3 linked regions of the Coturnix japonica genome follow. The protein of the gene in region 3 purifies or fractionates together with the protein of the main gene of each other region. This does not show direct contact. Links are inferred from orthologs where the notes say so. Each region holds a gene or a part of one and is shown on either strand. Other genes may lie near its edges.

Region 1 (7,843 bases), on a different chromosome or scaffold from region 3:
ATGGTCCCACTCCCAGCATCCAGGGGTTGGGGTCCCACTCTGCACTGAGACCCCCCCCCTACAATGCTGGGGTTTAGGGGGGGGCACACAGCTGTGGGTGCTGTGGGGTGGGTTCATTCGAGGTCCTGCATTTCTCACCTGGTTTAGATGGGTCTATTTTAGGGGCTGCATAGCACATAGGGCCCATAGGGGGGACACGGCACCCCACAGCTTTACCCACCCCCCAACACCTCCCACCTGGGGGGCGAGGATGGAGGCAACATCCCCACCCACACAGTGACCCCCCATCCTCACCACGGCCCACATCGCCCCCCATCCCCACACTGACTCTTCATTCTGACCCTTCCATCCCCCAGAGGACCCTCTCATACCCACAATTGACCCCCCCAGCCCCACAGCGATGCCCCCATCCCCACCAACATCCCCCCCGGCCTCATTGTGGGCAGCAGGAATGGAAGCACGGGGATGCTGCGAGCATCCTGCATCCCTTCCCGACCGCATCCCCCCCTCCCCATCCCTTGGGGCCATTGGAAGTAGCCACTCCTTCCCCCCGCCCCCCCATCCCCCCCCCCACACCGGGCCCTGCTCCCCGTTCCATAGCGGCCCATTTTGGGGCCGGGGGCTCCCGTTGCGGTGCGGGCTGGAGGCGTTTAGGACCCAACATCCCGGCGGTGCGGGAGCATCTCACGCCGCAGCGGCTCCAGCAGCACCGGCCCCGGCCCCGAGCATCCCCGCCCGGCCCCGCTTCGGGCCCATGGACCCCCCCGGTAAGTGCGGCGGTACCGGCGGAGCGATGCCCGGGGTGTGCGTGGTGTGGGGCGGGGGGGGGTGGTCGTGTAGGGAGGGATCCCCCCCACACCCTGAGGAATGGGAGCCCCCTGGGTGGGGATGGGAGGGTGGGGGGCTCTGTAAGGCCCCCCCGGTGCCTTTATAGGGGGGTGGCACCCAGCGGGGAGGGGCAGAGATGGGGGGTTCTATGTGGGCCTCCAGGAGCAGGGGGGTCCCCGGGGTGGTCCTGGTGCGGCCCCACGTGGGTAACGATGCAGCAATTGGGGATGAAAGCAGGGATTTGGGGGCTTCGAGCCCCAGAATCGCTCATTTTTTTCAAGGCAAGGGGGCTTCCCCTGGGGGAATAAAGGGGGTTTGGGGGGGGTCATAATGGAGGGCATCACAAGTGTGATGGGGACAAGGTGTGGGGGGTGTCATGGGGCCCATTTGCCGCCCCTGTGCGCCCCCCGCTGACGGCTCCCCCTCCCCACAGCCGCACAGCGCTGCCCGGCGGAGAGGAGCGGGGAGATGAGCTGGGTCTGGGGGCACCTTCGGGTGCACTGAGCCCTGCAGGACCCACCGCGGGGCCATCGGAGCACACAGCGATGCCCCACAACCCCACACCATCAGCCCTAAGGATGGACGACCGGCCGCAGCGTGGAGCCCTCCCTATGGGGCTGGAGCGGCTTTAGGTCCCGTTGGGTTGTACAGCCACCCCCAGGAGCCCCCATGCCCCCTAACGGCACAGACAGCAGAGCTAAAGACGTGGCTTCCAGATCAGTGGGGCTGTTCTTCATGCTGCTCATCGACCTGACGGCCATCGTGGGCAACGCGGCCGTGATGACCGTCATCGTCAAGACTCCGGCACTAAGGAAGTTCGTCTTCGTGTTCCACCTGTGCCTGGTGGATTTCCTGGCCGCTCTCACCTTGATGCCATTGGAAATGCTGTCGGGTTCGGCTGTATTTGACAGCCCGGTGCTGGGTGAAGCCATGTGCAGGGTCTACCTGTTCCTCAGCGTCTGCTTCATCAGCATGTGCATCCTGTCCATCTCCACCATCAACGTGGAGCGCTATTACTACGTGGTTCACCCCATGCGCTACGAGGTGAGGATGACGGTGGGGCTGGTGGTCTGCGTGTTGGTCGGGGTCTGGTTAAAGGCCGTGGCCACGTCGTTGGTGCCGGTGTTGGGTTGGTTGGCCCCCGACCGCCCTCCGCCCGCAGGCCGGGGCTGCTCGTTGCAATGGAGCCGTGGTCCGTATTGCAAGTTCTTCGTGGTCTTCTTCGCCGCTTTCTACTTCCTGCTGCCCCTCCTCATCATCGTGGTGGTGTATTGCAGCATGTTCAAGGTGGCTCGCGTGGCCGCCATGCATCACGGCCCCCCTCCCACCTGGATGGAGACCCCCCGGCGCCGCTCCGAGTCGCTCAGCAGCCGTTCCACCATGGTGACCAGCTCGGGGGCGCCCCGCACCACCCCGCAAAGGACGTTTGGAGGGGGCAAAGCGGCCGCCATCTTGCTGGCTGTGGGCGGCCAGTTCCTATTCTGTTGGCTGCCCTATTTCTCCTTCCACCTCTACACGGCGCTCAGTGCACAACCCTTAGCGGGGCCGGCGGCCGAGACCGTGGTCACTTGGCTGGGTTATTTCTGCTTTACCTCCAACCCGTTCTTCTACGGGTGCCTCAACCGGCAGATCCGCGGTGAGCTGGGCCGGCTCCTCACCTGCTTCTTCAAGCAGCCCCCCGAGGAGGACCTGCGTCTGCCCAGCCGGGAGGGCTCCATCGAGGAGAACTTCCTGCAGTTCCTACAGGGCACCGGCTGCCCCCAAGAGCTGCCCCCGCCGCCTCTGGGCACCCCCAGCCCCAAACGGGAACCGGCGCCCGTCGATTTTCGCATCCCGGGACAGATCGGGGATGAAGCGGCCGAAGGGACGGAGCGGACGGGGGGGGCACCGTGAGCAGAGCGGGGCTGTAGCGTGTGCGGCTGCGGGTGTTAAACAAGGATGGAAGGGAAGAGTGGTGTGGGTGTGTGGATGTGGGGCGGGACGTGGGGAGGGGGTGGAGGGGTGGGGGACCCAATGTGTGGGCTCCACGGTGGGGTTGGGGGCTCAGCATCGGGTTGGGGGCTTAGCAGTGGGTTGAGGGCTCAGCATTGGGTTGGGGGGCACAGCATTGGGTTGGGGGCACAGCATTGAGTTGGGGGGCTCAGCATTGGGTTGGGGGCACAGCATTGGGTTGCGGGCACAGCATTGGGTTGGGGGGCTCAGCATCGAGTTGGGGTCACAGCATTGGGTTGGGGGCTTAGCAGTGGGTTGGGGGCTCAGCATCAGGTTAGGGTCACAGCATTGGGATAGGGGAACAGCATTGGGTTGGGGGGCTCAGCATCGGTTTGGGGGCTCAGCACTGGGTTGGGGGCTCAGCATTGGGTTGGGGGCTCAGAATTGGGTTGGGGGGCTCAGCATTGGGTTGGAGGCTCAGCATTGGGTTGGGGGGCTATGTGTTGGGTTGGGGGCTGTGTAGGCCCCGCAATCATCTCAAGACTACAACTCCCATAATACATCCACACAACACCGGAAGTTCCGCCCTCTCAGCTCCCATCATGCACCACTTTACCGAGGCGGAAATGCCCTGTCGGACGGTGCTTCCCGGCGTGCTTTGCGGCTAACGGTCGCTCTGGGCGGATATCCGGTTCCGCCTGTGGGAGCCGCCCCGGCTGAGGGAGAGGCGCGGTTCGGTTCCGCTCCGTCCCTTTTCGTTCCGTTCCATTTGAAGGCCCGGCGGCCTCCGCCCAGCCGCCGTTATGGGCTGTACATTAAGCGCCGAGGATAAAGCGGCGGTAGAAAGGAGTAAAATGATCGATCGGAACCTACGGGAAGACGGCGAGAAGGCGGCCAAGGAGGTGAAACTACTACTGCTGGGTGAGAGGCCTAAACCGGGCCTAGTAGGCCGCGGGGCTGAACTGGGCCTAGTAGGCCGCAGGCTTTAGATTGGGCCTAGTAGGCCGCAGGCTCTGATTTGGGCCTAGTAGGCCGCAGGCTTTGGATTGGGCCTAGTAGGCCGCAGGGGCTGGGCTGGGCCTAGTAGGCCGCGGGGGTGGGGATGCGCTTGGGATCTGTCTAAGTGCATTGGGCCTATCGGAACCAATGGGCCTGTGGGGTTTGGGCCTATTGGAACCAATGGGCCTGTGGGCTTTGGGCCTATTGGAACCAATGGGCCTGTGGGCTTTGGGCCTATCAGAACCCCCAGGGCAGCGCTCCCACGGTGGCCGCACCGCACCGTATGGTGCGGTGTGGCCACCATGGGAGTGCTGCCCTGTGGGGGGTGTTTTAAAGCAAGCCAGGCCTCCTGCTGACTCAATCGTGATGGTCTTCCTTCTGTATTTATCCTTTTTAGGTGCTGGGGAGTCTGGGAAGAGCACCATAGTGAAGCAGATGAAGTAAGTGAAGGGGTTGAAGTGCCGCTGAGCTGCCGGTCTGGTTTGGTTTAGCAATGACAGCTCGGTTTTCTTTAGGATTATCCATGAGGATGGTTACTCGGAGGAGGAATGCAAGCAGTATAAAGTGGTGGTGTACAGCAATACGATCCAGTCCATCATTGCTATCATAAGAGCCATGGGAAGGCTAAAGATTGACTTTGGAGAGGTGGCCAGAGCTGTAAGTACTTCATTGATCTCCCTCTGTGTTTGTGCTTTGAATGGTGTTAATGAGAGCTGGAGATTGGGGCTGTGTCTGCATTGACAGGAGACCCCTCATTGTCTGCAATGTAAGTGCTCAACATTAACCACAAACCTGAGGTGTCCCTGAGCCACCTCGTGTTATAGAAGCAGAGCATTGAGCAGCTTTGGCTGGTCCCTGTGCTCTGTTTGCCATATCTACACATTGCTTGCGAGCCTATGGAGGTGTGGGCTGTCACACTGAGGCTCACAGCAGCATCCTGATCCCTCTATGTGCTGCCTCGTGATGAAATGCTCCATTAGGAAATGAGGCTCCCTCACCTCTCAGCTATTGCAGTGATCCTTAAGCTTGTAAACTTGATTTCCTTTCTTAACCCCCCCTCCTGTCCCTGCAGGACGATGCCCGCCAGCTGTTTGTGTTGGCTGGAAGTGCAGAGGAAGGGGTGATGACGGCCGAGCTGGCTGGAGTGATCAAGAGGCTGTGGAGGGATGCTGGAGTGCAGGCCTGCTTCAGCAGATCCAGGGAGTACCAGCTGAACGACTCTGCCTCGTAGTAAGAGACCCCTTGGGCCCTTCTGGTGGTGGGGTGGGCAGGCAGGAGCTGCCCTCTGCTTGGCTGTGAGTGCTGTGATAACCAATGTGAGGAGGGCAGCTGCTCCTTTGGTTCCTGTCCCTATCAAACAGCTGTTGCTTCTGTGTGGGGAAAGCTGCGTGTTCATTGCTTTGTAAACCCAGGAGGAAGGGTGGCTGTGGGGTCGGTTGTGCTTCCTGGTGGCTCTGCGTGGTCTGGCCAAGTTTGAAGCCTCTGAGAAATGAGTTTGGAAATGCTTTATAAGAACCTTGAGATGAGTCACAGCTCGGCTCCCTGCAGGCTCTGTCTGCACAGAGCACAATGCAGCTCGACAATAAGCAAGAGCGCTTCTGAAACTGTAACAGCTCAGCAGAGGATGTTGAGTTTAGATCAAGGGAGGTGAGCTGGCAGGGGGAGCGTTTCTGAGATGCTTGCAGGAAAGCAGCTTCAGGTTCAAAGGGAGAGGAAAGAGCTGAAAATGAGAGAACAGATTGAATAGAAAGACAGGGCTGTTAGGAAATGCTGCAGAGTGCAGTGAGGAGCTGGCTGCTGCTGCAGCACCCGGCCTTGCTAATGCACAGAGCGAGCAGTCAGCTGAGCTGCTGCCCAGCACGCAGCCCTGAGCGCTTCATCTCTGCTGTTACAGCCTCAGCTTCCTCACTGACACACTGCAGCCCTTCCTGTGGTGATAGTGTGGGTGATGCTGTGGGTACATGGTACTCCTAAGGGTGCTTTATCTCCTGCTCCCCTGCAGGGCTGAGGTCTCAGGGTTGGAAGCACACGCTGCAGAGCAGTGCTGCAGTGAGATGGATGGGGTGATGCCAATGGGGACGGAGCCGTGGATCCCCACAGCTACTGAGCCAGGAGCTGGGGAGGCTCAGAGCAGCAGCAGGGCAGACACAAGTCGTGCTGTGGGCTTTCAGTCAGTGCTCTGTTCCCAGAGCCTCATTTCAGGGCGTAAAGAAAAGAAAACAAGTGAACCGAATCCACCCTTCTTGCAAGCTTGTGTTTACCAGATGGCGTCAGAGCATGGGAAGTAGCTGGCTCTGTAAACATGAGGGTGCGAGGTGGGGAAGCAGTGTTGCAACCTCAGCGTACAGAGGAAGCCTGGTGGTGGAGGAGGCTGCAGAAGGGCTGCAGGCAGTGTGGGGTGCAGCGGCTTTTATTGTATCCAGCGAACCTGGATGTGGTGGTGGGCAGCAGGAGGAGGCTGTGGGCTGCCCTGACCTGCTGTGAGTCCTCCCCACAGCCACCATGGGGCAGCCCTGGCTGTCAGCTGGCCTTGCTGAAGGTTGTGAATGAACCTGCCTGCTCTTTATGCTGCATTCCTTCCTGCTGCCTCGTTTGATGCATCCTTGCCCTTTAAAGTGAGCTGCTGGATTTATTGCCTCGCACTTTGATGCAAAAAAACCTTGACTGCTTTGCATTGCCCTGAGAGATAACAGCCTTGGCACGGCTCCTCCAGCAGCTCCTCCTGCATTGCCCTGCTGCCCAGCACTGCTCCCAGCACACACTGCAAGGTCGTGTTGGGGGGGGGGGAATTAATACAACCCCCCCGAGGGCAGAGCCGTGGGAGCTCGTGTCTATTTGCTGCGTGTTTGAGGTCTGCATTGAATACATTCAGTGATGACTTTCTCCTGCAGTTCATAAAAGATTCATAGCGAGAGCGCGGCCTAAAAAAGGAACCAACCAAACACCCCCCCCCCCGGTGTTGTCTCTTCTGGTTTAGTTACCTGAACGACTTGGATAGAATATCCCAGCCGACCTACATTCCGACTCAGCAGGATGTGCTGCGCACCCGGGTGAAAACAACGGGCATCGTGGAGACACACTTCACCTTCAAGGACCTCTACTTCAAGTAAGCCAAGAGCATGGGCTCCTATAGGCTCCTATGGGATCCTATAGGCTCCTATGGGCTGCAGTGAGTTCCTCAGTGCTCAGAGGGGTGGGGGGAGGTTCCACGCCCCCAGCAAAGCGCCTCCCCCTGTGCCAGCACTGCTCTCTGGTTTGACTTTTCTTTGCCTTCTTCTGTTCTTTCCAGCTGCTTTTATGTTGGACTCGCAGACGCAGGTACTGAGTGCTTGTTCACAGGAGCAGAACAGCAACTAATACTAAAAGGGCGCTGACTCCTGGCTGCTGAGTTTGAGTGTAACCCCCTTTTCTTTGACATGGGAGGTGAGGGCTGTCCCTTAGGCCCTGGCTCTGGGCACGTGGTGCTGCCATGCGCATCCAGCAGAGCTGTGAGGGACTCCTGGCCCTCTGTATGTCTGGCCAGCATCCCTGTCAGTGTGACCCACAGAGCTCCCTCTAACCCCATAGCAGCTGTTGGAGTGCAGCTGAGCTCCCTGCCCTTAGCACTTAGCCCTCCGTGCTGTGTGTCCCCATCCCAGCAGGCAGCCCCTGGATGTAGGAGAACACAGTGTTGTGTTGTGGGCGAGTTTCCCTCATCCTCTGGCCCTGTTTTCAAGCTGTCGTTGCTCCAAGCCACTAAATAAGCATTTATTGGCTTAACTTTTAGCTTGTGTTTGGAAAGAGCCCTAGCAAAAAACCATGTGTTGCTTATAGATTGTGGTTTGCTTGCATGCCCTCTAGGAGAACTGTAGTGCTCTGGCTTCTGTCGTAACTTACAAATGGTTTGAGCAGAAGTGCTTTGCACCGTGGAGCTGTTTACATGGCTGAAGGTTTGTCTTCCATCACGATGTGTTTCCAGCTGCAGTTTGCTCTTAGAAATCATTGCGTGTGATGGATGGGGATCCAGGCTCCCTTCAGCATCACAGCTGCAAACAGGGGCTGCCCCTTCCCTGCCCTCCTGGAGACACGGGGTGTCTGTAGAGGG
Region 2 (7,699 bases), on a different chromosome or scaffold from region 3:
CCAAAGCACAAAGGGACATCACCATCTGTGCTGGGACTCCAGGTACCCCATGGAAGCAGCAAGGGTCACAGCCCTGTGTCCTCCAGGCAGGGCGTCCCCCTGCCCACAGGCTGGGCCAGGAGGAGCTGCACAGCCCAGGCAGGACCCTGCATCCACCCGCAGCATCTTTCTCTGGTTATGGGACTCGGTGGATGACACATGTTTCTCATTTGGCCCAAAATATATGATTTGGCTGGAACCTCGCAGGCTTGACCCGACGGAAATAAAACTGCGCTCGGCTCGGCTCGGTGGATCGGGTTTCTTGCTTTCTTTCCACCCAGAGCTTCCCCTGGCTCCTTTGGAAAAGGAGCCCTGCAGCCAGCCACGCCACGCGGAAAATTGCTGCTCACAGCGGGGACGGAGCTTGGCCCCACAGAACCAGAACTGCACAAAGGGCACCGAGAGCCACTGCAGTGCCACCTCCACCTGGCTGGGCACAATCCACACTGACCCTGAGCATCTCCAAAGCGTATCCCTGCCCGGCACATCATCCCAGTCCACAGAGCTACCCCTATAGCTCCCCCCCCACTCTGCTGGCCCTATGGCACTGTTAATGGGGTGCAGGCATGACCCCGAGCCCGCTGTGGGAGCCCATGCCGGGAGGAGTGTGGGCGCACACGTGCGGAGCCGCGGCCTCCAAACCCGGCGTTGAGTCACAGTAGCTGCAGGGAAGGCATTTTTTCCTTTCGTAATCCCTGTTCAGCAGGAGTGCTCCGGTACCTCATTAACTCTAATAACCCCAGCCGGAGCGGTGCCACCCCACAGCACCCGCAGCAGCAGATCACAGCACAGCTGGGCAGTGACGTGGCACAGGCACAGCCCTTGGGCACGTGCAGAAGCTGGGAGTGCAGCCACCAGGCTGCCATGCCATCTCTTCCAAATCCGTTCCTTTGCCTCACGACCAGCCCAATAGGCCACTGGAGCGGTCACTGGTGGCACAGGGATGTGAGTAATGGGAGACGGAAGCCACGTGGTGCTCAGGGAAGCCAGCAAGCCATATAGAGGGGACAGGGATGGGGACAACCATATGGTGAGGGGAAGCTCCCAATCCCCGGAACACACCGGCTGCCGGCCATTCAGCCCCGACACAATCCATAGGCTGAGTGCCAGGCAGCACACGCTTCCGGAGCAGGGCAGCTTCCCACTGCTGGGCAGGACAGAGCGCTTCAGGGCTGGGGTTGTGGCTCTGCACCCCAAAGCATCGCTCCCATCTGTCCCACAGGGCCAGGTCCCAATGGGCACAGAGCCCAGGGCCCCAGGGATGCAGCCATGGTTGTTCCCAGAGCATACTACAAAAACAGGAAACAATCACCATCATCCACGAGGGGACAGGGATGGGTGAGGAGGGATGGGGTCAGCAGGGACAGTCCCAAGGCACCAGCTACGTCCCAGCCACCAAATGGGGTTTTCAAAGCACTGCACCAATAGCTGGGTGAAAACCACCCAGAATAAAGGGGGGTGAGGAGGAAAGAGGGGACTCCACATTTTCCTTCCTATCTAAAAGAGCTTTAAAAATAATTGCATGTAAGAAAAGTAAGAAAAAACAAACACAAGAAACCCCACAGCAATGCTGCGTGCTTTTCCAAGCAGCTGTCGGCCCCAGCACAGAGCTGGCCACCCTCCAGCAGCACCCAGGGCTGCCCAGGCTGTGGGGTGGGCACAGACCCCATATGGGGGGGGGTTACATAGGAACAGCCCCCCCATCACATTGAGGTGTGAGCACAGTGCCACAGCCTGGACCTGGGGGGAGTAATTGGGGGTGTGCAACTTGGTGAGGGTGCAAAGCTACATCCATGGCCGCCGAGGGAGCAGATGCAACAAAACAACCCGTTGTGGGGAGGGTGTGTGGGGCTGACAGTTGGAGGGTTTGGGCTGGGCGTACTTTGGGCTGGGCACAGCCCTCTCCACACCCCCGCTGGCTTTCCGAGCTGGACAAAGCTATTCCTGTGCCTTTTTCCAGGAAAGAAGGGAGCGTTCTCCTCTCTTTCTGGCCTTGAAATCCCAGGGATGCCACATCTCTCCTGGTGTGGCTCACAGGCCCCGTCAGGTTTCCCTTAGAACCATCACCCCTGTTAAAGCCCTGCACCTCCCTGCAACCCCATGTCACCAAAGGGCTGCAGCAGAGCGTGGGGTGGGGAGCAGGGAGGAAGGAAAACCCGCGGGTGCGTGAGGCAGCGCCGGAGCTGAAAGCAGCAGCCGGTGCCTCCCTTCCTCTGCTGCTGAGCACACAGACGGAGCCACAGAGCCCAGCGCCCCCACCCTGCGACGGAACCATCCCAACAACGGGGCTGAAACTGCACCCTCAGCACTGAGCACAGCGTGCCCCAAAGAGCCCCCCACTGCAAACCCAGCCATGTGCCCTGCAACCAGCTTTGTTTGAGGGCAACATCTGCATCTGGGGCTTCCCAAACGCTTTCTAAGGCAGAGATCCCCAAGAGCGAAGCCAAGGAATCTCTCTTCTTCCTTAATGCCAAGCAGGCGGTGTGGTTTAGGGCTGTTAGCACTGTGTCCACAAAGCCCACGGGGCAGCTGCGGAGCATCAAGGAGCGCATCCCAAATGCATCCAGCTTTAGGGGATGGTGGGGGGTCTCCTCTCTGTGCTGCTGCCCACAGGTCCTGCGCCCACCGACAGCCCCTGGGGCTGCTCCATCAAACCGACACAACAGCCAGAAAGGGAGAAACTCGGGGAGGTGGGCGCAGAGCAGCAGGACGGGCGGGCAGCCCCCATCCCCCAAACACCAACAGCACTTTCAGCAGCAGCACAGAGGATTCTGCAGGACCACGGTTTCACTTCCGCCTGGAGCAGGGCAGCAGCTGGGGGCTGTGCTGTGCTCTGTGCTGTGCTCTGTGCTGTGCTGTGCTGTGCTCTGTGCTGTGCTCTGTGCTGTGCTCTGTGCTGTGCTGTGCTCTGTGCTGTGCTCTGTGCTGTGCTGTGCTCTGTGCTGTGCTCTGGGGATGCGGATGCAGCTGGGGGGGTTCCAGGACAAGCTGAGGGGCTCCAAGCACCGTATGGGGACCCACCAGGAGCCATCCCAGTGGGCTCTCAAGTCCTTTCCAGACACATTTCGGTTTAGAAAGCAGCACCGAGAGCTCAGGGCCTTCGATACTGTTTACACTTGAACAGCTGCTGAGGCAGGGGAAGGAATCAAAAAGACTAAAAAATGGAGCTGTTTCGCTCTATTTTTGGCTTTAGAAACCCACCGAGATCAGTAACCGGAGCCTCACCCTGCAACAAGGAGCACAACCACGCTGCTCCCAGCCCCGCATCGCTGCGCCCCATCCCGAGATGGGGAACCCTACGGCCTGGAGCCGAACGCATCCCTCCGAGCGAGGCCGAGCCCACGGCAGCCCCAGCAGCGGGGTCTCAGCCCCACGCGCCCGCCCCAAAACGCCGCGGGGTTCCGTCCCGAGCTGCCGGTGCTCCCGGTGCTCCCGGTGCTCTCTCCCGTTCCCCTCGCACCGATAACCCGACCCCCACGGCCCGGCCCCACCGCCGCACCCCGCCGTGGGGAAGCACCGTCGCGCTCCGCCCTTCTCCGCTCATTCCGCGCTCGTCGAGGCGGACGGTGTTGGAGCGGATCGGCCGCTGCCTGATTGCACCACGACTTCCTGCTGCTCTCGGCTTCCTCTCTTGAAGGAGGCGACGAGAAAAGACATTTTGTGCCGGCGTTTCCCCCCGACGGCAGCGGGGGGGGGCGAGGGGGGAAAGGAGGGATGCTCCTCCCGATCCCATCCAGCGCCCCGGGGCTGCATTAAGGGACCCCCATCCCCAGAGATAACAGCGAGATGGGAGAAAATAAACGCTGCGTTTCGGGCCGGAGCGGGGGGGGGCGGCTCCAAACAGCAACAGAAACAGCGAGGGGAGGGATGGGGGGATGGAGGGATGGAGGGATGGGGGGATGGGGGGATGCCCGCGGGTTCTGCATCCCACCCGGGGCCTTTGCGATGGGGACCCGGGGGCGTGGCTGACCCCGCAGCACCTCGGGTGGGAGGGCGGGGGGTTGAGAAGGGAACCCCCGGGGATGCGGGGGGTCGGCGGGGAGCTGGAAGTTGAGGGTTGTCCCAAAAGAGGGTGGGAAATCACGGGTGGGGGAATCGCGCCGGAGCCGCCCGAGGGACGGCGATGGAGGGGGGTGCGGGATGTAGCGGGGGGGACGGATGCCCGGGGGGCGGCGGCCACGCTCACCCAGCAGCAGCAGCTTCACCTCCCTGGCCGCCTTCTCGCCGTCCTCCCGCAGGTTGCGGTCGATCATGCGGGAGCGCTCGGCGGCCGCCTTGTCCTCGGCGCTCACCGTGCAGCCCATGGCGGCGCCCCTCGCTCCGCGCTCTGCCGGCACTGCCCTGCCCTGCGCGGCGCGGGCGGGGCGGGGAGGGGCCTGTGGGGAGGGCGGGGGTTCCGTCGGGGGGCGTGGAGAGAGGAAAGGGAAGGGGACGGGCTGGGTGCGCTGGGTTGGGCTGTGATGCGATGTGATGTGATGCAGTGCGGACAGATGTGGGCTGCGCCATCGGTGATCCCCGGCACAGATGTGCACAGGACCACGTTCATTCCGCAGGACAGATGTGGGGCAGGCCGTGCTGTGAGCAGGACAGATGTGGGGCAGGCCGTGCTGTGAGCAGGACAGATGTGCAGTGAGTAGCTGTGGGTCCTTTCAGGGCAGGCATGATGCACAGCGCCACGTGCCCCACAGCAGACATGCCCAGGGCACGGGGTGTCGGTGGTGGCGGTGCAATGGGACGCGCTGTGACCCAGACTCTCCTTCTCCATCCCCACCGTGGCTCATTCTGCCACATCTCACGGCTTCACAGCACGGAGCCACCCCCGGCGTCCCCGCTCCGCTCGCCAGGCTGAGCTCCCCATTGCACCCCGTTTCCCAGAGCCGTGAATCCCAAACCCCGCTTTGTCGCCGTTCTTGCTGGCGCTGTGTCCCCACTCCCAGCCCCAGCATCGTACTCGGGCCTCCCCGGACACCCGTCCGTGCTGTCCCCGCGGTCCCCCCCCCCCCGCCCCACACCGGGCACGTCTCACATTTGTATCCTTTATTATTACTTTAACGGATCCGCTCGGTCGCGCTCCTCCTGCACGGCGCTCATCCCCACATATAATTTAACAGCGCGGCGGGGTGGGGGGGCCGTGGGTGCGGGGACACCGGGGTGACACGACGAGCACCGCCCCGATCCCGCACACGGTTCGGAGCTCCCGAGAGCCGCGCGACACATTAAAAAAGAACTACTCTTATATACAGTATTTATAAAAAGCATCCCAGCCTCCACCACCCCCATATAAAAATAGGTCTCTTATTTACTTGGCGAGCCCCCGGCCCCCCCTCACCGCCTGCTCGCATCCCCCGCGGCCTGGCCCTTGGCGTGGCTGGGAGCTGCCCATGGCATGGACGGACAGACGGGTGGGTGGTGGGAGGACTGCGGGGCCGAGTGGTGCCCATCACCCTGGTGTCAGGGAGCATCCCACAGCCCGAGCTGTGCCGCCCCACGTACCTCCGTGCCCCACACCAGCACCCATGTGGTGCACCCACCCCAATGCCGGCAGCACCCGGCCCTGGCACGTGTCACCTTCCCCGAGCTGGCCCCTGGATCATCAGGTTCCCACCCAGTGGCACCGGGACCAGCCATTCCCTGGGCACCACATGCCAGCGAGGAGCTGGCAGTCAGGGGGTGAGGACAGCAGAGGACATGGGGGTGGCACGGGCACTGCTGAGGTGCTGGCCACCAGCCCTACAGACACTGCTGTCAGGACTTGGGGCCAGCTGAGGACAAGCGGGTGCCTGTGGGCCAGGCTGGCCCCGTCCCCTCGGCCCCTGGTGAGGTAGGGAAGCGCTGGTCTCCCCATTGCACAGATGAGGAAACTGAGGCGCGGAGCCAGGAGGGGTGGGCACGGTCTGGGGTCCCCCATATGCCCCCTCAGGCAAAGGGCAGGCGGCAAAGATGGGAGCCCCGGGGGGTCCTGGTGGGGACTGGGGGGGGGGGGGGGGGGGGGGGTCGGGGGGGGCAACCAGGGTGGCTAGTGGCTGCCGCCACTCCGTCCCCCCCCTGTGGCCCAGTCGGTGATGATGAAGCTGAGGCTCATGATCATGAAAAGCACCCCGAGGAGAGCGAAACAGGCAGCCTGTGGGAGACAGAGACAGAGAACAGGGTGGGGGCTGCCCCTTGTGCCCCATGGGGAGCAGGGAAGAGCTAGAGTGCCCCCACCCCACTGAGAACCCAGGAGACCCCATCCCTCCCTTGTCCCCGTGCCTTCATCCCCACATCCCCTGCGTCACCCCACAGGGCCAGCAGTGCAGTCCCTACAGCCTGGAGTGGGGACCCAGGGCTTACCAGGATTTTGGGGGTGGAGCGCAGGGGCTCCTTGTCCTTGGGCATGATACGGATGTAGAAGATGGCCGGGAAGATGAAGATGAGGCAGGGGGCAGAGGTGGCACCTAGGGCAGGAAGGGACCAGTGGGCAGGGTGAGCCCTGGGGGACAGCTGGGTGACAGGGACGGGGCAGTGCTGCCACTCACCAATCAGCCCAAAGATGCCAAGGATGGAGGGGGCAAAAATGACCAGGAGGTTGATGAAGGTCAGCAGGATCACAGCGATGGCGATGTGGCGGATCCAGCTGAAGTTCTTGCCTTGGAACAGCATCTGCTGGATAGCACGGCGCACCTGGGGACACGGGGACATGTCACACACCATCCTCAGAGCCATCCCATCCCTGCAGGGCCGTTGGTGCCTGTTAGACCTTCCCATCCTTGTCCCCAGGGCACCATCCAACTGCTGCCTCAGTTTCCCCTCACACTTCTGAGGGATGAGCAGAGCTGGCCACAGGGTGACCCATGGTGACACTCACCGGGAACAGGACGATGGGGACAGTGAGTGTCACAGCTGTCAGCACGGCCACCCGCACGCAGAGGATCAGCACATCAAAGGGGTCCACCCGGCTGTAGGTGTGCAGCAGCTCCGACTCCACGCGCCCTGCAGCACCAGGGATGTGGGTCAGCACCACCACCACCACCCCTATGGGTGTCCCCATTGTTTCCCCATGACCCTGACCCCACAGCTCACCATAGAACGTGAGGTAGCCAAAGAGGGCGGCCAGGAAGTACATGAGGTACATGACGGTGATGGAGATGTTGGAGATGCACTGCATCTTCTTCTTGGAAGGGCTGTGGGAAGTGGGTGTCAGCACGGCCTCCCCACACAACTTCCCCCCAAGCCCCACCACCACTCACTCCTTCAGCTCTGTGTAGATGGGCAGCACCTCGGGGTGACACACGAAGGCGAAGGCCATGATGGGGATGGTGTACGCTGTCTGCAGAATGTGCAATGAGTGCTGGGAACCCATTGCCAGTGCCCCCCAGGAGCCCCCACTGTGGAATCAAACCTACCTGGGAGTTGAGGGTGAAGAAGTTTGGGGTGCAGGCCTCCACCTCGGGGGGCAGTGGAGCTGCAGGGCCATCCCAGTGCTCGCCACCCAGGGAGGCGTTGATGCCAATGGTGATGTTCCCCTCTTGCTCAGGCAGCGGGCAGGGAATTTGGAACTTCTTGTAGATGACCTGGGGGGGACTCTGTGTCAGCGGGGGGCTCTGGGTGCCCCCTCACCACAGTGACATCCCTGCCCTGTGCTCACCGAGATGAGGAAGAAGACCATGCAGCTGAGCGAGAA
Region 3 (6,136 bases):
TTTTGTATTGACCATAAATATTTTGAGATGCTGACTTACATTGCGTGGCCTGCTCACTGTCTTACATGAATCACTGTGACCCCTTCTTAGAGGAAACAAAATCTGAATAGAAAAAATCACTACTACAGAGTAAAATTACAGTATTCTTTCATTTTTGTGCTTGGTTGTTTTGCACACCCTTATTAACGTGTCTCAGAACGTCAGTAAGAGTAGAAGTAATCTGAAGAATCTGAATCATATTAATTTAAACTACATTGTAAAGTCTAACACACTTCCCTCCCCCAAAGAAGAACAAGAGATTAATTTCTTAAAGTTATTGCTATATTTATCAGCTCATAACATCACCACCATGCACAATTCCGTGATTTAGATATAATACAAATATTTCAAAATATCAGATCTGAAAAAATGCTCTCCATTTCAATTACAGGCCTATTCAATAAAATATATACCTTTGGTATAATATGTTTTATTGCATATAGCAAGCCATTTTCATTATCATCAAAAATATACTTTAGCACTTGTGAATTACAGGGGACCAATTCCTCAGAAAACCCACAATTTTGAATCAGCTCATAAATACATAGACATGATAAGCATATACATTTTCTGTTCTCAATGGCAAGTGAAAAATATTTGAGAATTCTAAACTTACTGATGATTAAGCTTACTGTCTTTATGCTAATTTATTAGAAGCATTGTAAGACATCATTTTCATTGAAAATACACTTTAAATAAGGCAAGTTTGTAAGAATTTGAATAGTGCTTTTTCTTACATGAAGAATTTATTTTCTTATACGGTGGTCATGCCTCCCTCCCTAATCTGAAATCAACACACACAAAGCAACAAAACAGAGCAAAGCATCCTCTGAGGATGAGATCACAGTGAAAAAAACTGTGATATAGTTTATGCTGTTAATCATGTTGTATCATACTGCATCATATGATGATACCACAATAGAACAGAGCTGGTTATTTACACAGTGGTTCTGACTGGCAAATGTAAACAAAGATGAGTCAAGCATCTCAGTAATGCTTTGACTGGCTAGTTAATCTGCAGAGTTTTAGATGTTCATTAGTTCCAGCTTGACATAACCAAGTGAGAACATGAGGCACCTATGTTTAAGGTAAGAAGCTGATCATTGACAAAATGTCAGTGGGGTTTCAAGTAAATATGAATATGTTCTCTTTAGTTCATTACTAATATTAAGTCAAATGTACACTAATCTATGATCCAAGAAAGAGGAGTTGCTGTTAGATTTCTAGACAGATTAAGGAATTATACAAATATAGTGTGGTTGTTGGTTTCTAAGACATATAAATTGAAGAAAAACTCCAGCACAGCAAGTAATGAATTGCTTAGATAAGTCTGCTTTTCAATACAGAAAATTTGTACAGGCTATTTAGGAACTCTTAGTACAGTTGAAGTGACTGGAATTGGCTTGGAAAAGCTCAGACGTAATTGAACGTTGTTACAGGTATGAACACTTGAGTACTAAAAGGTATCACAGTTGCAGTATCTTTCCAGAGTTAAATATTTCTTCTCTATAAGCTCAGCTTGAAGGTGAATCCAATTGTCCTCCTCTATCAGAGGGCATATTTTTATCAACAGAGATGCATTGTTGGAGGAGACATGCTGTCTAGGTATACTTTGACATTTCACAGTGTGCTTCCTCTCAATGAAAAGGCACCTGCTGTCTGTGGAAAGTCCACATAACAGGTCCTGTCCTGAGAGTCATGTATTTCTCCTTCCAGCAGCAACATAAGTAGCATTTTCTCTTTATTATTTAGATGTGTTTAATTGTTCTAGGTGAGTATTATTTTTATAACTGTGGTAAACTATGATTATTTAAAAAAGCTTATCTATGACAGATTACAAAATAACCTATAAATCTTATACTATGACCAGGAGATCAAGTTGAGAAAGATGTCACATGTTCATTCTGTAAATATTTGTAATTTCCCAGAGTGTAATGAGATTATGACTCAACTAATCAGACAAAATGCCATTCTTACCCACTGTCACTTTTAAAAGCATAAGTCTTCTGACAAAGGCTCAGAAATTCCTTACCACACAGAAGTGAGAAATACTGTTTCTTCCTTGCTTAAGTTTTTAGGACGTGTCTCTCCAGAACCTCTTTTGGGGAACTTTCCAATTTTGTGAATTACTATGTCTTCAGAAAGAAGTGGTGTTTTGTATTTTTCTCCACCTCTCACAAATGGCTTGAGAAGATGAATCATATCACTTTTCTTTCTTTCCAGTCTATCCTCCCCTCTCTGTAGCTTTGATAAGAATAACTCTGTTACATTTCTTCCCCTGAAAACTATTTTGAGTTTGAGAAGTCGGTTGGGAATGCCATTGCTCGGAGGCCTGGTAAGGTTTAAAGTAAATAATTCTCAGAGCATGTTCCCTAAAATACGACCAGATTTCATCTTTCAAAATAACTTATCTGAGAGTTTTGAACTGGGATTGTTACTTGGCCAAAAGATGCAGGTAGAGAGCAGTGAGAATAGTTTTGTGGCTTCTTTCATTGAGCCAGGTAATATGGATATTTCTATTTCATTCTATCTTTGCTATCTCCGTTTGAGAGGAGAAAAAAAAAGTATCCATGCACAATTTGTATTGTAATTCCCTCAAGGATATCACTGTGTTATTATATGAGAGATCTACCACTGTATAACAATATCTTAAGTAAAGACTCTGTAACTTGAGTTCCCAAATATCATGCAAAGATTTTGATCAAAGTGCCTTCACTGTAGAATAGAGAGTTCAGTATAATATCCAACAGTAGGTCTAATGAAACAGATTCTTTATTTGGATGCTGTGGAGTGAAAGCAATAAGGTTCCCATTTTCACACAGAGTCCACCTTCACTTGATTGTTGTTTGTAATCAGCGGAGAAGGTTTACTTCTTATCCTGTCTGCTGCATCATTAGAACTGTCCTGGAAAAAAGCTTTTGCTGTACAAAAACTGACAATAATTTTCTTATATTCTCTTCTGAAGTTCTGGTTCAGGAGTCCATATATGATGGCATTAAGGCAGCTGTTGAAATATGCCATGTAATAGCTAGACACAAACAACCACTCTGGGATCCTAGGTATTATGGTTTCTGGGTCCACAGCCACAGCAAGGCCAATGAAGTTCAAAGGAGCCCAGCAGACTGCAAACAGTACAAATACCACAAACATGGTTACAAAGTTTCTGAAGTCATGTGGTTTCAGTCTGGGGTTGTTGTCTGGTTTAACCCTTCGTCTTACCTGAATAACAAGGATCCATATTCTCAAGTAACAGTAAGTAACTATGGCTATGGGAAGCATGAAGTGGAAAAACACCACTGCTATTGTATATGCTGAACTCACAGACTGTGCAAATGTACACGAGTAAATCCTGGGGTCATACTGTAAAGATCCCACAAACAGGTTGGGTACAATAGCAACAACTGTTAGGACCCAGATAAGAGCAACATAGCACAAAGAATTCTTGTCGCTGTACAGCTTGTCATATTTGAGACTGTGGCAGATATAGCAGTATCGATTGATAGCAATGCCAGTAATATTGAAAATCGACCCAATGACGCTTAATCCCATCAGGAACCCACTTATCTGGCAGTGAACGTTTCCCATAGTCCATCCATTGTGAAATACAGATGTGAGGACCAGTGGATATGGATAGATTGCTACGACCAAGTCTGCAATTGCCAGGCTTACCACAAATATATTTCCTGTAAAATAAATATAAAAATACATGTATTAGTCTCTCATTTGCTCTCTTCCATTGCTTCTGATCTTAATATATTAATGACCAGCCTTAGTGGAACACTTTGTATTTAATTAATTTCTAGTTTCTAGGTAGAAATTATTTGTTCACAGCTTCTCTTCTTTTTTTTAAAAACAACTACTACATATACATATATGTGTCATGGTATTCATGTCCATATCAACAAAAATATATAAATGTATGCATGTACATGCATGTGTATACAATACAATTACAGGTATATACACGTGTTTGTGTATAAGCGCATGTTAAGATTACTCACAGAAGATTAAATTTAAGCTATTGCAACCTCTAAGAAAATATACTACTAGCTCATTAATAATCCAAATCAGCGTTGGTAAACCATTTTATGTATTTACCTTGAGCAGAAAAAAATAGTTATTTAGCTAAGGATTCTACTTATTCCCCTATTTTCAAAGTTTTGATTCTAGCATGAAATACGATGTTTGGCATTTATACTCATAGCAGTCGGGATAAATGGCCTCAGAAGATAGTTTTCTTAGATTTTGTATCTAGATTTAGAGATGTCCCTCTTTCTATGGTCTCCATAGTTTCTTCTTTTGCCTGTGAATTCACTGCCAGGCTGAAATATGCTTATCCTGTAGGCTTTAGCACAATTCCATATCATTTCAGTAGTAACATCAGTGCTCCCTGAAGCAGAAGCTCTGTGTTTTAATTAGGAATTCAGAAATTGAAATGGGACTAACAGTTGGTAGTGGTGAGTTTCCACTGCTTCAAATGCTGTATATTTAAAGAAATAGCTCAGATAAATTCTAGATGGTAAAAAGAGATGGGACCTTGTTTAAAGAATACTTGAAGGATCCTGTTTACATTTGCTTATAGATTTTTTGCACAGTGAAGACTGCTCATCTCAGACCTTTATGCTATCCAGCACTTCTTCTTCTGGTGATCTACATGAATACTGTCATTATTGTCAGTATTGACACACTTGATACAAAAGGTTCAGCTATTGATAAGAGATATGTCAAAAGAAGCATGGGTTTACTTTTTTTTTTTTTTTTTCCTGATTTGTTTTAGAATAGCATTGAAAAACAAAAAAACAAAACAGTCTAGGAAGTGTAGGCCCTAACAAATTTGGGATCCATGCTAATTCCAGCTGTTCTTTCCAGTAGACTGCCGTAGACCCCAAAACCCTGAAAAGCGAGAAAAAGACAAGCTGTTTCATAAGGCACTGGGAGGCCAAGCTGGGAACCTATCTTTTCAGAAATTTGTGAACCTGGAAACCAAACTCTCTGTGTTCACCTGGCTAGCAGTCAAGTCTAGCCTTGGGCTAGAAAACTACTGGGAAACCAAATGCTTTCTTGCATTTAACTTGCCTTTTAGGAATGCTTGTCTTCAGATTTGAGTTCTGATTCATTTTCCTTGCGAGTATAGAAACTTCAAGTAAAACTTGTTTGGATTTAGTTTGTTTGTTATGTGTTTTGAAGTCCATTGTTTCAGATTCTGATGTGGGATCTGAAATAGTAATGACTTTTCACATGTTGCATAGCTCTTGCTTTAAAAATAGGAGCCTTGATTTAGGCATCCACTGTTACTGGAAAATACTCAATGAAATTCCCATATATTTAATGGTATATTGTGAAAATAAAAATTCTTATGTTTGTGGAGCATTGGTATTGTAGTGGTGAGTATCATAATACATAAATAAATAAATAAGATATAGGAATAAATCAGCTTTTATCCTCAGAGTTGGGTTTGAACAGAAATAATGAAATGAAGTCTAAGAAAGAAATAAGTAAATGAAGTCTGAAGTTCCATGTTGAGCTGTTTTCAAAAAATCCAGCCACATCATCAAAGTCCTTGGTAGTTCTTCACTGAACAAAAACTAGTCTTCTTCCTAAGAGGTTAAAATTAGGTTGCTGGGAAAAAATTTGATTTATGTAAGTGAAGAACTCGTTACCAAGCACCAACACAAGTTGGCTGAAAAAGAATGTAGAGTTTAGCTTCTTGTCTTTTCAATTTAATAAGTTTAAGCAGCTGTTGTTGTATGGATGTATGCGAGAAGACAATCTAATGATCATTGACTTTATTAGCCTGTTCTTTTAAATGCAATGTAAAGCAATGTTCTGTTAAATACTAAAAAAAGGAAATTATTCTGCTCAGCAAACAAGTAGCAACATCAGAACTACCTGCTAAATTAAAAAAACAAAACAAAACAAAACAACAACAAAACCTGCAGTAAAGCAATAGAAAATAAACAGATACTTTTCCAGACAACTCAACTTCTCAAAGAGCACAACATAAAATGAATATAAAAATTGTGACCTTGGCAAATTATAAAAATACATGGGTTATTTATTGTCCCAGTGTCAAAATTAATAACTTGGCATCAAATAA

Evidence for each region. The genes of interacting proteins can lie anywhere in the genome.
Region 1: the proteins of melatonin receptor type 1A (region 3) and GNAI3 purify together in Homo sapiens (tandem affinity purification; 3 studies listed by BioGRID and IntAct, with this or other methods). This does not show direct contact. The link is inferred for Coturnix japonica from reciprocal best matches to the Homo sapiens genes MTNR1A and GNAI3.
Region 2: the proteins of melatonin receptor type 1A (region 3) and GNAI2 purify together in Homo sapiens (tandem affinity purification; 3 studies listed by BioGRID and IntAct, with this or other methods). This does not show direct contact. The link is inferred for Coturnix japonica from reciprocal best matches to the Homo sapiens genes MTNR1A and GNAI2.

The regions. Positions count from the first base shown.
Region 1 is NC_029541.1:1,609,284-1,617,126, forward strand, and holds the start of GNAI3 (guanine nucleotide-binding protein G(i) subunit alpha), read left to right. Parts: upstream 1-3,427; 5' UTR 3,428-3,563; coding exon 3,564-3,681; intron 3,682-4,156; coding exon 4,157-4,199; intron 4,200-4,274; coding exon 4,275-4,416; intron 4,417-4,831; coding exon 4,832-4,989; intron 4,990-6,736; coding exon 6,737-6,865; intron 6,866-7,843. Other genes in the region: GPR61 (G-protein coupled receptor 61), read left to right, coding at 1,498-2,721. UniProt on the Homo sapiens protein: Heterotrimeric guanine nucleotide-binding proteins (G proteins) function as transducers downstream of G protein-coupled receptors (GPCRs) in numerous signaling cascades.
Region 2 is NC_029527.1:2,013,912-2,021,610, forward strand, and holds the start of GNAI2 (guanine nucleotide-binding protein G(i) subunit alpha-2), read right to left. Parts: upstream 4,417-7,699; 5' UTR 4,344-4,416; coding exon 4,226-4,343; intron 1-4,225. Other genes in the region: SLC38A3 (sodium-coupled neutral amino acid transporter 3), read right to left, coding at 6,056-6,160, 6,370-6,473, 6,555-6,699, 6,884-7,008, 7,099-7,199, 7,266-7,345, 7,422-7,589, 7,664-7,699. UniProt on the Homo sapiens protein: Guanine nucleotide-binding proteins (G proteins) are involved as modulators or transducers in various transmembrane signaling systems.
Region 3 is NC_029519.1:55,459,000-55,465,135, forward strand, and holds the end of melatonin receptor type 1A, read right to left. Parts: intron 3,723-6,136; coding exon 2,854-3,722; 3' UTR 351-2,853; downstream 1-350.